Astyanax mexicanus: one gene and its partner. The protein of the gene in region 2 interacts with the protein of the main gene of each other region in a biochemical or structural test. Links are inferred from orthologs where the notes say so. Each region holds a gene or a part of one and is shown on either strand. Other genes may lie near its edges.

Evidence for each region.
Region 1: the proteins of rps6kb1b (region 2) and pdk1 form a complex in vitro, tested with the Homo sapiens proteins (2 studies listed by BioGRID and IntAct, with this or other methods). The link is inferred for Astyanax mexicanus from reciprocal best matches to the Homo sapiens genes RPS6KB1 and PDK1.

Annotation. Positions count from the first base shown.
Region 1 is NC_064418.1:31,059,885-31,067,089, reverse strand, and holds the start of pdk1 (pyruvate dehydrogenase (acetyl-transferring) kinase isozyme 1, mitochondrial), read right to left. Parts: upstream 3,020-7,205; 5' UTR 2,385-3,019; coding exon 2,276-2,384; intron 2,156-2,275; coding exon 2,014-2,155; intron 1,913-2,013; coding exon 1,841-1,912; intron 1,110-1,840; coding exon 925-1,109; intron 801-924; coding exon 705-800; intron 578-704; coding exon 500-577; intron 390-499; coding exon 313-389; intron 1-312. UniProt on the Homo sapiens protein: Kinase that plays a key role in regulation of glucose and fatty acid metabolism and homeostasis via phosphorylation of the pyruvate dehydrogenase subunits PDHA1 and PDHA2.
Region 2 is NC_064425.1:6,352,624-6,359,907, forward strand, and holds the start of rps6kb1b (ribosomal protein S6 kinase beta-1), read right to left. Parts: upstream 3,008-7,284; 5' UTR 2,880-3,007; coding exon 2,811-2,879; intron 1,861-2,810; coding exon 1,817-1,860; intron 162-1,816; coding exon 41-161; intron 1-40. Other genes in the region: uncharacterized protein LOC125782590, read left to right, coding at 4,692-7,284. UniProt on the Homo sapiens protein: Serine/threonine-protein kinase that acts downstream of mTOR signaling in response to growth factors and nutrients to promote cell proliferation, cell growth and cell cycle progression.

The sequences.
Region 1 (7,205 bases), on a different chromosome or scaffold from region 2:
TCACCCTATGGTACCTATACTACTACTGGACTCGACCCTACTTGGCTTTGCTTTTCTACTGGGCAAATATGCTGCCTGTTATCTGTCACCAAGTACTCTTTTTAGTATGCTAAAAAGTAACTTGTAAACCTTGTATTGAAAGTAAGGGGTGGGAGTAAAACCAAAAACCCAGGAGCAGTCCAGGAGTAGAACTAAAATGTGTAGGTACCAAACAATGGAAAAGTTCCACAGCAGAGTCAGTCCTTAATTATGTATACTGGTATTTTGTGTTTTATACGGACAAGGTGTAAGGAAAGAAATGGTACACAGTACCTTAAATAATTCAAAGACCATGTGATACAAATGGGATGGCACATAAACCACAGTTATGGGCTTATTAGGTTCTTTAACTGCAGAGAACAAAACAAACAAAAAAAAAACAACAGAAAACTACATTTATTTCTCTACATTTTTAAGTATCATAAATACATGAAGTAAATGAAAATGATTTTGTGATTACCATTAAATTCTTCCAGTTGTAATTCTGGTGAGTTCATGTAGTATCTGTCACATAATGATCTAGCATTTTCATACGCATCTGCAACAGCAACAAATAAACACTTAGTATCACTTACTGTCCTTCCATTTCAGTGACAAGAACAGCCAAACCAAGCCTTGATAATGACATCAGCTTGACATATAATCTGACAGCTCAGATTTCTTACCTTTAACCACATCAGTGACACAACAGTGAGGATCAATACCTCCTATTTGTTTTGGATGAGCTGGGTTCACGCGTACACGTCCTCCAAACAGAAGAGCTGCAATGGATATGAAAAAAAAGTATGTTTATAAATGTGTTATTCATACAATAAGAAGAAAAATAAGAGGAAGAACATGTCTAAGACAATAACAGGTCGAATTAAGACAATAACAGGATCTCACTGTGCTGGTTGAGGAGCATTCTGATGGAGATTCTGCTCATGTAGAAGCGGTCCAAAAAGTATTGCATATTCTGGCTGGTTATTGGGTCAGTACCATACGCCTCCTTATACTCCACCACTCCCTGAGCCATGGTGGGCACCACATCATTATGTCGGTTGCGGATCTTTATCACTGCATCCGTGAAACTAAAGAGCAGCAGCAGCAGCAACTTAGGCTACGTTCACATTACAAGCAACATTGCTCAAATACAATTTTTTGCTCAGATCTTGATGGTTCACATTCACAAATGTAAGTGACCTGTATCTGTGTGTAATGTAAACGAATTTTGTCGCTGAATCGCTTCACATGCGTTCATTGATACGTGTATAGTATACATGTACGTCGCCTTCTTTCCAACAACCAAAAAAACATCATATTTGAGAGACGACTCGTAGCTTTATAAAGGTGAAATGGATGCGTTAGCAGCTCATATGTGGAGCATCTTTTGCTTGAATGGAGAAACAGCAAACAACTGGTCTGAAGTTCACGCTCAGGTCGAGGAGGAGAAAAAAGGCCGGACGGTTTGCTTTTGCTGTTTTTGCAGCTACAGCTGCACCAAGAGATGTGTGGGTACTGGAAGCACATAGCGCATGCGTTAAAGCAAGAAGACGCATGAATTCCGATTTGACCGTTCACATTCATGCCGCATGTCCATGAATCGGACATGTATCTGATTTAGGACCGCATATATGTGTGACTTAAATCTGATTAAAAAAAAAAAGGATTTGGATTGTTCACACAGCCATGAAAAAATCAGATCACTTCAGCCTGGGTAATGTGAACATAGCCATAGTGACACGTTAAGATGCATAAAAACACAAACATTGCTAAATAGAATCTACCCAGATGTTTATAGAATAGATGTTTATATACTTACTCAAAAGTCACTTTTTCATCATTGGCATCTCTGTCCTTGAACTCAAGGATATCCTTGAGACTTTGCATGTACCTGGTGAGATATGGCAAACAAAAAGCAATGAGTAACTGAGCAGTGATTAAACAGTTCTAGTTTACGGTCCAGTCCAGTGTATAGTAGTTAGTTACACTCACCAGCTTTGCACTAAGCGCACTGAAGGCGTCCTCAGTAGGTTATCAGGCAGTAAGTTAATCTCTTTCATAATGTTTGCAAGCCTGACTGGCAGTTCCTGCCTCAGGAACGTGAATGAGGTTTTTTCACAGGCATTATCTGAACCTGGGGAGGAAAATTAAGACATACAATGACAAACAACAATATTTAGGTTTGGTTAAAAACCAAACCAAACCCAACCAAACTCTGCTGATTTTAGTGCTCATATAATAGCTAGAAACTTACCAAAATCTAAGAACTGTTTCATAGACAGAGGAGAGGGGGAAAATCTGGAATACTGATCCACCAGCTTGCCAATGGAAGCATTGTTCATTAGAGTCCTTAAAATCCGCATGATGTTAGGCAGGTGTCAGCCATCAATCGGGGGGAAATTCTGATTTAAGATCTAATAAGATAGCTAACTATGCAGCTAAACGTCTTGTTTTTACAGAGAAATTATTCTATATGACTCTATCTAGCTACTGTAAAGCTAACTAGATAATTAGTGATTAAACAGTGATTAAACAGTTAGATAGTAGGGCTAGCCAACTGACTAGTTATCTAGGTTAACTAACTAGCGAGTCACTAGCTTTCCTGGGTAGCCAGCTAACTAGCTAGGTTGAGTATGTGTCTCTCCACAGGCTGGCTGAATCTAAGCTCTGTTCCTATGTAGGTTAGCCTAGGTAACCTAGCTAAGTAGTTTCACTGTCAGAACGCCGGATTCTTCACTGCAGTACTTGTAAACAGACTGTGCTGATCCAGCTACACTGTCCGTCACTCATACCGCCGCGCTGCTGCTTCACTTTCTCTTTCAGCTGAACGCTCTGGAGAGAACCTCCTACCACGAGATATGCGCGTGTGCTGTTTATCTTCACCCATTAAACGCTGTATGATTCCAGAAACGAGGAGAAACACACTTCCAGTAACGGCCAGACCACAAGCTAAACTCGCCTGAGTGACACTCCACTCTTCCGCCACTGAGCGGCGCAAAGCCCCGCGCTGTCTCCGTGCGTCATCATGCAGTACGGCTGATAAGATGCCTGAATATAACTTTACATAAACTAGCAAATATATGGGGGAAGAAAAAGAGACCACTTAAGTTTCCGAATCAGTTTCTCCGATTTTGCTCTGATTTATAGGTATATGTTTGAGTAAAATTAACATTGTTGTTTTATTCTATAAACTACGGACAACATTCCTCCCAAATTCCAAATAAAAATATTGTCATTTAGAGCATTTATTTGCAGAAATGGGAAATGGTTGAACAAAAAAGATGCAGAGCTTTCAGAAAATGTCCCTTCCTTCTCTGACTCTAAAAGACATCTCAGACTGTAAGGGTGTTCTGTAAATTAGTGCTGTTTATCTGTAAGAACCTGACTATGCGATATTTATTGCAATACGCTTTTCAATATATTCTGATATATTTTGATATTGTAGGTAAGGTTTATAGACTGAAATTTTCTGGAAAAAAACCCACCCTTATTAAGTATATAATTTATACAACTTATAACAGTGCATAGTCGTGCTTCAGTAAAAGTTTAGTAAAACTAGAGCCGGGTTATGAAGATTATCTCCTCTTTATATCAGAAAATCCCAGATAACCGCTAGAGGGAGCCCACGAGTGAGTCCAAAATGAATGGGGTTAATGATTAAATAAACATTTTTAAAAGAGTAAGAATATACTTTTCCCGAATTTTGACATTTTTGAAAGTACATTAATGTTTAAAGGTTAAAAGGTTTAATAAATATGTTGTTGGGCATATGTTTTAGTTCTGTGTTGAGGAAATTATTTTTAATTCAGTAAAAAAAGATTAAACATTTAAAAAATCAGATTATGCCTAATTGCTCCGAATGAACACATTTATTTTTAACCTACTGTGGAGCGCCCTCTGGTGGTAAAACAATAAGGTGGATTATTTTCCCCACTATTATATACATATATAGTGCAAGGTTTAATATTACAATACGAACAACATAATACTTCATTTCATAATACTTTATTTTGGATGCAAAATATATGCATATTTTTTATTTATAAATAAGTGCTGTCATGATGAAATACTTTGTATTATGCTCTTTAGCAAAATAGGTATATGTTTGAGTAAAATTGTAAAAATAAACAAATAAATAAATAAATAACACTGTGGTTTTATTCTATAAACTACGCAAAACATTTCTCCCAAATTCCAAATAAAAATATTGTCATTTAGAGCATTTATTTGCAGAAAATGTTTGTGAAGATTTCCTCACGGTGATGTTTCAAACTTCACCACAAGAGGGCGCCATAAACACACAATTAAGCGTATGTTAATTCCTTACTAACTACATACTCTAACGTGAAACGGAACAGCTTACCCATAAATCCCTTTTTTTATTTAAACAAAAATACATGCATTAACTACACATCTCATTCCTCTTTTAAGTCATTTTAACTCATTTAAATACACAGACACAGCTTTTTATAATATACATTTAATAATATATTAATTTCGACAAATAAAATCTTTGGTTGGGGTAGATAAGATTTCCAGCGAAGACTTCACAATTCAAACCAATCTTCAAATTTTATATTTACCCTGTGACCAGCTATATTATAAAAATACTAATATTAGAATATTAATAGAGTAATTAAAAACATTGAATGCATATGCATACATATTATGGAACATTTTAAATGTACTTAAAAATAATCATATATGCAAAATGTTATTTATTAGCAAAAACTGCCCTAATGTAATAGATAGATAGATAGATAGATAGATAGATAGATAGATAGATAGATAGATAGATAGATAGATAGATAGAATTTAAATTATTGACAGTAACCATACATTTATATATAATATAATGCAATATAAATGTCACTATGAATAATACCGTCTATACTATACTATAGAATAAATATAAACAATGAAAACATATTAAAGTATGTAAACATTAAAGGTGTATTTAAACAGTGAACAGCCCAGAGTTTAAGCTGAGATGTGTAAATATAAGCTATAAACGCATAAAGTTAAGTTTGTAAGGAAACAGGTCCAGTGTGTGGTCGGTGTGTTCTGCTGCAGCGCGGTTTGACGCTTCTCGGCCGCCGTTATTCGTCACCACCGCTCGCGCTGAAGCAGGAAACGGGTGAATGGTTCGTGCCAACAACAGCGGTTTCAGAAGCCACAGCAGAGACACGAACTAACGGGTTGGTTTGAGTCTTTTAACCGGTTTAAAGTTTTTAAAACAACACTTTCTAACATTCTCACGCTTTATGTGCTTCTGCGTTTAGATATCTTAGGGTTTTTAGTATAGTTTAGTGAGTGCTGGTCTCGGGGAATGGCTGTGAGTTAGCTCTGCTTTAGCTGTAGTTGAAGGTTTGAGCATCGCGGCTACAGGATGAGAGCTGTGTGTTTACTGCTGGACATGTAGTCAGTGAGGGAACTCTGCTGATAGCTGAACACGCTGTATTGTTATGAGTTTAGTGATTTTTTAGCCATGACTGGCTGCCTGACCGAGCTGTGCGGTGTATATTTGAAAGCTGACCGCGCTGAGCTGCTCTCAGATGCTGCAGTGCAGCCGGGCTGGACTCTCGGTTTGGGTGCAGCCCAGTAGCTCCACAGCTGAAATTAGACGTTAAAAATTCTCTACAGAAATAAAGAAACAGTTGACTTTTACACTGCTACGATATTAAAGCTTCTTTTTAGTCTTTGTGTTTGTGCTGTGCAGTTGTTCTAACCGTCACCAGCATTTGTCACCAGAAAGCCATGGTGACAAATGCCGCACACACCCTTCAAAATCCGTGTAAATCAATTCCAGCACTTTAACTCATGAACATATATATATATATATATATATATATATATATATATATATATATATATATATATATATACACACAGAGCTCTGGAAAAATTATAAGACCACTTCAGTTTCTGAATCAGTTTCTCTGATTTTGCTTTTTATAGGTATAGGTTTGAGTAAAATGAACATTGTTGTTTTATTCTATAAACTACAGAGAACATTTCTCCCAAATTCCAAATAAAAAAGTTGTCATTTAGAGCATTTATTTGCAGAAAATGAGAAATGGCTGAAATAACAAAAAAATGCTGAGCTTTTAGACCTTGAATAATGCGAAGAAAACAGGTTCATATTCATTAAAAATTTAGGTGGAATAACCTGGTTTTTAATCACAGTTTTCATGCATCTTGGCATGTTCTCCTCCACCAGTCTTACACACTGCTATTGGATAACTTTATGCCACTTCTGGTGCAAAAATTCAAGCAGTTCAGCTTGAATTCAGTTCAGTTTGATGGCTTGTTATTATCCATCTTCCTCTTGATTATATTTCAGGGTTTTTTTTATTTGGTAAAATCAAAGAAAACATTTTTATGTGGTCTCATATATGCAAAACATCTTTATTAAAGAACACTTTCTTAGAGTGATTCAAATCAAGTATACACTTCTGCAACAAAATGAAAGTTACCTTTATTATTGCGTACAATATGACACTGCACACCCCTAACTGAGATATTAAAAGATCCAAGAATTTTATCAGATTTGTAACAGATGTCAGTAATTCATAATGTCATGATACTAATAATGCACTCCAAATATCTCCATATATCTAAGATTAAAGTAAAATGAATGATACTGGACAGATATAATCTGTCTCTATTAGATATATAATGGGGAAACGAGAACAGTGTGAATTTTTTGCCTGAAAAGGGAGTTTCTAAATCTGCATTACAGAGATCTTGAGTTCCTTACTTACCAATTGTAATCAACTAGTGTTTGTTAGATAGACAATCATTTCATTTATTTATTTAAAACTAAAATAAGAAGCTATCTTTTTGTTCAGAGATTAAATATTTTTATACACCTTTTTATAAGGTGTTTTTCTAATACATGCTTTACCTCTGAGTAATTGATTAACAGTTAATCATTTTTAGTAAATTACAGCTGAACATGTTGGCCAGCCTGACGTGTCTGGGTAATTTTATAAATCTCTGCTGAGTTGTGTTCAATAGCTTGAACAGGATGAAATTCAATAATTAATAAATACATGGTAACTATAGTAATAATCAAATAATAATGGTAACAGTAAGAAGAATGTGTTGTTATTGATTTAATCTTAATTTAGGACAGCATATTCAGATGCCTGTCACTGTCTAGTGTTTTCATTATATTTCTT
Region 2 (7,284 bases):
TATTCTAATACATATAAGTTGGTATAATTGAGCACTTTACCTTTCCATAGCCACCTTTGCCTAAAACTCGCAATAGCTCAAAGCACTCCGGGCGTATGCTCTCTGTGCCTTGGTTTACACTGTCTTCAGATATCTCGATCTTCTCACAGTCATCCATATTGCTGAGAAAAAAGTAAAAGAAACAAATGAAAAGGCAATGCAAACAGCAGTGTTTAATCTAAAGATGCACAAATATAGAAATGCAAGCAGACGCTGGTGTCAAAAGCCATGGATATTTTTAAATCCCCTGTTCTGCCTTTATAGCAAACTACACAAAACAAAAATGCATGGTACATTATACAGTATTATATACAGGGAGTAGATAACTGAAAAGTAATTTTATAAAAGCAATTTTATTACAGTTAGTTCCGACCCTGCAACATGATTGGCTAAAAGGAGTTCTACGAGTGCCGTAATCAGCCGGTAATGCACAGTAACCGAAGCTCTTCACGTATTACCCCACCACATACAGGTAACCTAGCAACAATGCAGCGCTTACAAGCCAAACAGAGCAGCTACAAACAGAGCAGCAATAGAACTATTTTACAAATCGTATTTTCTCGTCCTCTTTAATTCAAAATCTTTTAATAAACAGTGATCATGGAACTGTGGTATAATCGCAATAATACTCTCGAGGTTTGTGCTATAACGTGTAATATTGGCACTGCTGAGCTGATTTACGGCACTCAGCCTGCAAAGCCAATATTACACGTTACAGCACTCCCTCTTGTGTATTATTGCTTAATTGCCTGATGACAATACTGTGATTCTAGCATCTCTCCTGTTTCCTGAAATAGCAGATCAGTAATTGTCTTTAAACTCTTCACTAAATCTAATGCATATCATTTTATTATGTTATTTTTAATGTGTATCTAGATTTGACGCACCAATTTTTATTTTTTTGTCCGAAGCTTAATAAATGAAACTTTCAGCCAAAGGTCTAACAGTTTTAATGAGTTTTAATTTATTTTGGCATGTTTGTTCAGTACTACATAAATGAAATAGTCTGAATGTATTTTTGTCTTACTTGTTCAAGTTAAAAAACTAATACAAAAACTACAATTTAAATATATAATTGAACTTTGCAAACTTTTTTCCCTTTAACAAATAAAATTATCATTTTAAAAAGTTCTTTTTATAAAAGTGCTTTTTATATTTACCCAGGATATCTTTGCCTGATATTAAAATTTGTTTGATAATCGGGCAAATATCAGTATGACAAAAAAGCAAAAACAAAAGAAATCTGTAAAGGTGCAAAAACTTATATATAGCTCTGAAACAAATTAAGAGACCTCTTCAGTTTCTGAATCAGTTTATTTGATTTAGCTATTTATAGGTTTATGTTTGAGTAAAATGAACATTGTTGTTTTATTCTATAAACCACTAAAACATTTTTTTTCCAAATTCCAAATAAAAATATTGTCATTTAGAGTATTTTTGCAGAAAAAGAAAAATGGCTGAAATAAGAGAGAGAACTTTCAGACATATTTATAAAGTTTTAACAGATCAGAAATCAATATTTAGTTTCCATGCATCTTGGCATGTTCTCCTCCACCAGTCTTACACACTGCTTTTGGATAACTTTATGCCACTCACTCCTGGTGCAAAAATTCAAGCAGTTCAGCTTGATTTGATGGCTTGTGATCATCCATCTTCCTTTTGATTATACTCTCATTTTTATGTGGTCTCTTTTTTTCCAAAGCTATATATAAACAGCTGACAGAAGAAATAGCAAAATAAAGCTTTACTGAAATGTAAAATAGCATAGGATACTCACAACTCAAAGCCACTGCACTGATCCATAAAGTCATTGATCTGTGCCTATACAGAAATAAAACAGGAGGATCATCAGTCAAACTGGGAAAAAGCTGATCGGCATTCCCAGTATGCTCTTCTGGAAACTTGAGAGCTGATATTTCATTAGGAGCCCTGCGAGATGACAGCTAGCGCTAGCTATTTCTGAAAGAGGAGGAGGAGGAGGGTTTGCTGGAGAGACAGAGCACTTTATCCGACTAATCTAACTAACGCTACACGACACTGCAGCTTCTCCTGAACTAACCTAGCTAACTAACGGTGTCACTGGAAACCAGCATGCCTTATACAGTAACTCTATACTGGAGCAATGGGAGGAACAGGGCTGCTCAGCAAGCGTGTGTGTCAAATGTGACAACTTCAGGACTGTGTAGCTCAGTTAAGAAGCTACACTAGTTAGGTTAGTTATAATGAACCGACAATATCACTTTATTCTAGATGCAGCACAATGCATATTACGGTAAAAATACAACTGGTAGGGAATTAAAAGCCTAAAATTCAAGGAAATCCACGAAATGCACGTATTCACCACGAAAATCGATCGTTATCTGGTTCACACACATAGCAGGCAGGCAGCAGGCAAGCCACAACACGATAACTACGCTAAGCTAAGCTATCTACTACAGGGCTTCCCTTTAACCAGATAGCTGGTTAGCTAGCGTGGATTTAAAAACATTTAAAGACAGTTTTAGAAAAAAAAACGACAAATGACTGCAAAGCGGACGAATTGATTAAAAAGGTGCACATTTAATCTGCACACCTGCATAAGAATAGGTGGAATATTTTGTCTAATATTGCAGAAATTAGCATTAGTACACAGGCAGCTAGCTAGCACAACACCTATGCTATGCTAGCTTATGCTAAGCTAAGCTAGCTGGTGTGTTGTTGGCTCTCCAGGCCCAGGGCTCGGCGCGGCCTGCCAGCAGGGCGTATGGAGCAGCGGAGCGGCAGTTACTCACCTCCTCCAGCTCGTCATCGGAGACATTCTCCTCCGGCTGGTCCAGATCGATGTCGAAAACCCCGGCCATCGTTTATTTCGCTGCGCTGATCCACCGTAACCGAGAGACCGAGAGAGAAGGCTGCGCTTCCCGCCTCATGGACATGAACACACCGTCGCCATGACCGGCTACGGCACGAGCATGCGCACAACGAGCCCAACAGGGGGCGTTATTTTACTATTATACACCAGTATACAGATTTTTAGAACAATAGAGCAAAATAATAAATAATAAATAACTAATAATTAATCCGCATGTTCCCCAAACCTAAAAGAAAATTAGTTTAATTATTCAGTAGGTTTTACCATCCAAGTCTTTTAGACCATATACTTTATGTATTATACAATATATAAATTGATAATATGTACATACAGTAACTGTTACCAGTCTAAGGAAGTTTGGACACATCTCATCTCATTCAATGTGTTACCTTTTTATTATTTTATATATATATATTTTTTTTACATTGCAAATTTAATATTGAATACGTTAAAGCTATACAGGAGCACATGTAGAATTGGAAGTGTTACAAACCAGAATAGGTTTTATACATTTTATTTAGCTATAAGGGCAGATCTGCACACTCGTGGTATTTTCTCAGCATCTTGAAGGAGTTCCTGGAGGTGCTGAATTCCGTATGTGTCCCTTAATTGTTTTAATGTCTTTAATATTAATCTACAATGTATAAAACAAATTAAACAAAAAACATAAAGAATAGCATTGAATGAGAAAGTGTGTTTAAACCTTAGACTGGTACTGTATATATTATACCTTTGTATATAAAAAAATGAGTGTAGAAACAGTGATGTGCCCAGATAGCAAAAGAAGGTTGAATCAACGTACTGTTTATAGTATACTTTCCTTACATTAAATATGTATATTGTATAAAAGGACGGGACTCTTATTGTGACGTTCTAGCTCCGGTAAATCTTAATTGTGCCTGATTCACTTACCTGTTCCAGAAACAGAGCTGACCACATTTAGTAGGCTCAGAGTTAAAGTTAGGAGCTGACCTTCATCCAAGTTAATCTTAGTTCTTCAAGTCTTCATAGTACATTTTCTCACAGTCAATGATGAAACGTAAGTCATGCTGTTGTGTTTTTTGCATGTATCTCCGTTTGTGTTTACTCCTTTATCCGTATATATGCTGAGCTAGTCAGGATATTGTCTGGATGTATTGTGTAGCCTACATTTCCTAACATGTCTTAAGGTGTAGAGTATAATCCCTACATGTTTCTAAGTTACAAGTTATAAGTGTTTTAGCACTATCTGCCTCGATGTTATGTGAGAATATTTCGAGTAAAAGTTTCTTTGTCCTCGTGAAATACACGTCACGTGCGTGCTCTAGTTGCACTACCTAATTTGGCCACTAGGGGGCTTCAGAGACTGTTTAATAGCTGCTCTATGACTGAGCTGTTCTCTTTATTAGAAATTCCCAGTGATTCAAGTTTGCATTGTAAAAGAAGTGTGGCACTTATGTACTTTATGTAATGTAAAGTAAATGCAGACCTTTATTTTTATTTTATAGTGCCTTATTTCTTATTGCTATTTCTTTTCTTTTCCTTTCCAGACTGTAGATGTATATGTAAACCTTAAAGGGGATGTCCAGTAAATGTGAATGTGAACCTGTGAATACACGTGAATACATGTGAATTCAGATCTGAGCTTCTTCAGTAAATGTTATCATCACCTTTAAAAATAAACCTCATCGTCTCCTCATCATTCCCTTACCTGGCATTCTAATCGATGCCCCATCTTGGATAACTCCTAACACCTAAACGAACCTCATATCCCTATAGCCTTCCCAATATTGGTCCTTCGAGCCGGATCGGAGTATTCAAGATGGAGTATGGTGAAGAGATGATGCCTGACGTGCGTCCCAAACGGCAAATACGTCGACCTCCCTGGCTTGATGATTATGAGGTGGACTATCACATGGGCTCAACAGCTCCCTCAGCAGGGATGTATTCAAATCATTCAAGTCCTCTAACCTCACATACTCGTCCCAGTAGCCGCCAGAGGGATGCTGCTTACACCGAGATTCCTCAGCTAGCCCTCAGCTACCCCCAAGGGAGAGATCTGACCAGTGAGGACCTCCTACCTGAATACCCTCACCTGCAACGCTCACACCTAGCCTCCCACTTCACAACAGAGTTGAGAGCCATCCAAGAGGAGAACGCTAAGCTGCTTCAAACAAGGCACCATGTTGAGTCAGGCATAGCAGAGCTCAACAAGGCACGAAGCGAGATTAAAGAGCTAATAGAGGTGGCACGCTTACTGAGAACAGACATTGGGCAGTCCAATGCCCCTGCATCGAACTACCACACATACCAACCTCCACCACCCAGTGCTGCAGATACAAGTCGTTTCCTTGTTGTACAGCCTAATGACGAGGAGGAGGAAGAGGAAGCGTGGCCCGACCCTCCAGTGTGGTGCAAGCCTGAGGAGGAACTGAATGAAGGCATGTACAACTTAAAGCTTGAGGCACCAAAGCCAGGCTACAGCCAACCCCCTTATGCCTCATTACAACCTTCGTACACGCCTTACAAGCTCCCACCTCCGATGCAGCCTCAACTCCCACCTCCAATATCTGTGGCTCGTAGAGGGGTACCAGCCTACTACACGCATGCACAGTACCCCCAACCTCAACCTCCTGTGTCATTCTCACAGCCACTTGCTCATCCTACTCCAGCCTATGCCCAACCATGGCCTGCATCACCTAGCTCAGCGTACCCTCCACCATTAGTCCACAGAGTGGGACCTGCTGCGCCCACACCTTACCTACCTCTGCATTCCTCAGTGCCTGAAGAGCACTATAGGGGTCCAAAACCCACTATCCCCAAGTTTGCTCGCCCAGATCCTAGCGACTTTGCTCGGCTACGTATAGCTCTGGGGAACCTGCTCCCATCTAACGCTACAGAACTCTTCAAGTACCAAATACTTGTAGACCACCTGAAGCTAGATGAAGCTAAGCTCATTGCTGATGCCTACCTAAACTCACCGACACCTTACTCTGACACAATGTCTGCTTTATACGATAAATTCGGTCAACCTCATCAGCTTGCCATTAGAAGAATTCGGAGTGTCCTGGGGGCCCCTGAAGTTAAGCGCGGTGACATACCCGCCTTTGAGGCGTTCTCACTCCAAATTCAGTCACTTGTGGGCCTACTGAAGACCGTAGGACCTGAAGGGGAGATTGAACTCCACTGTGGCTCACATGTAGCCAACCTCCTCAGCAAGCTCCCTCCTGAACTACGAGCTAACTTTCGCCGATATCAGTTAAAGCATTCCAGAGCTGTCCACACGTTGCACAACTTGTCAGAGTGGCTCCGCCATGAATCATGGTGTCAAGGCACCGATGAGTTGGCCCCTGAGAAATACAGTAAGGAGAAACAGAATACAAAGAGTGAGGGCCGTCAGGCAAAGAAGACAGTATCAGTCCTGCATGGTGCTGGTGAAGTTCCACAGTCCGCTTCCCAGTCACCTGCGAAGAAGAAACCAAAGCCCAAAGCCTACTGTGCCTACTGCGAGAGTACAGAGCACTACCTCAGTCAGTGCACTGGAGTAGCTAAGCTCTCCAAGGATCAGCTAAGAGAGTGGATCCAATCCAACAAGCGTTGTTGGCGCTGCGCACGAGCTCACCAGGCAGCGCAGTGCACGCTTAAGAAACCCTGCAACGTCTGTCAAGGGAAGCATCTCCTCGCCCTCCACGAAATAAATGTGAGGACTGACAAGGCTCCGAGGAACGTGTCAGCAAAGGAAGATGGCTCCGTGAACAGTACTGCCTCTGACACACTCTACCTTGATAGACCTGGAGCAAGCAACCGTGCTCTGCTAAAAGTTGTCCCTGTGCTTGTTCACTGCTGTGGAAGGACCTTCAATACCTTTGCGATCCTCGATGATGGGTCTGAGAGGACAATGCTGTTGCCCTTGGCAGCAAAATCCCTCGCATTACGGGGAACGCCTGAAGTCCTACCATTGCGCACAGTCCGTCAGGATATCCAGGTGCTCCACGGGCACACGGTTTCGTTCCGTGTCTCTCCTGCTGCCACACCTCAGGTCAGTTACCAGATAGATGGTGCCTTCACCGCAAGCCGTCTCACTTTAGCCCAATATACTTACCCTATTGAGCACCTTCAACGCAAGTTCAGACATCTGCGTGGCATCCCCCTACCTGCCTTCCAGGGAGCCAAGCCATGTCTCCTGATCGGCTCTGACCAGCCTCACCTAATAACCCCTGTCGAACACGTACGACTTGGCCCACCGGGTAGCCCAGCAGCAGTTCACACTCGCCTGGGATGGACTCTTCAAGGCCCTATCCAGCCCATGGGCCGGACACCGCACACCACAGAGTGTCTGTTCATCTCTGCCACTCCACCGCAGGAAGAGGTCCTCAAGCATGTCCAACGACTCTGGCAAGTGGACGCGCTACCTC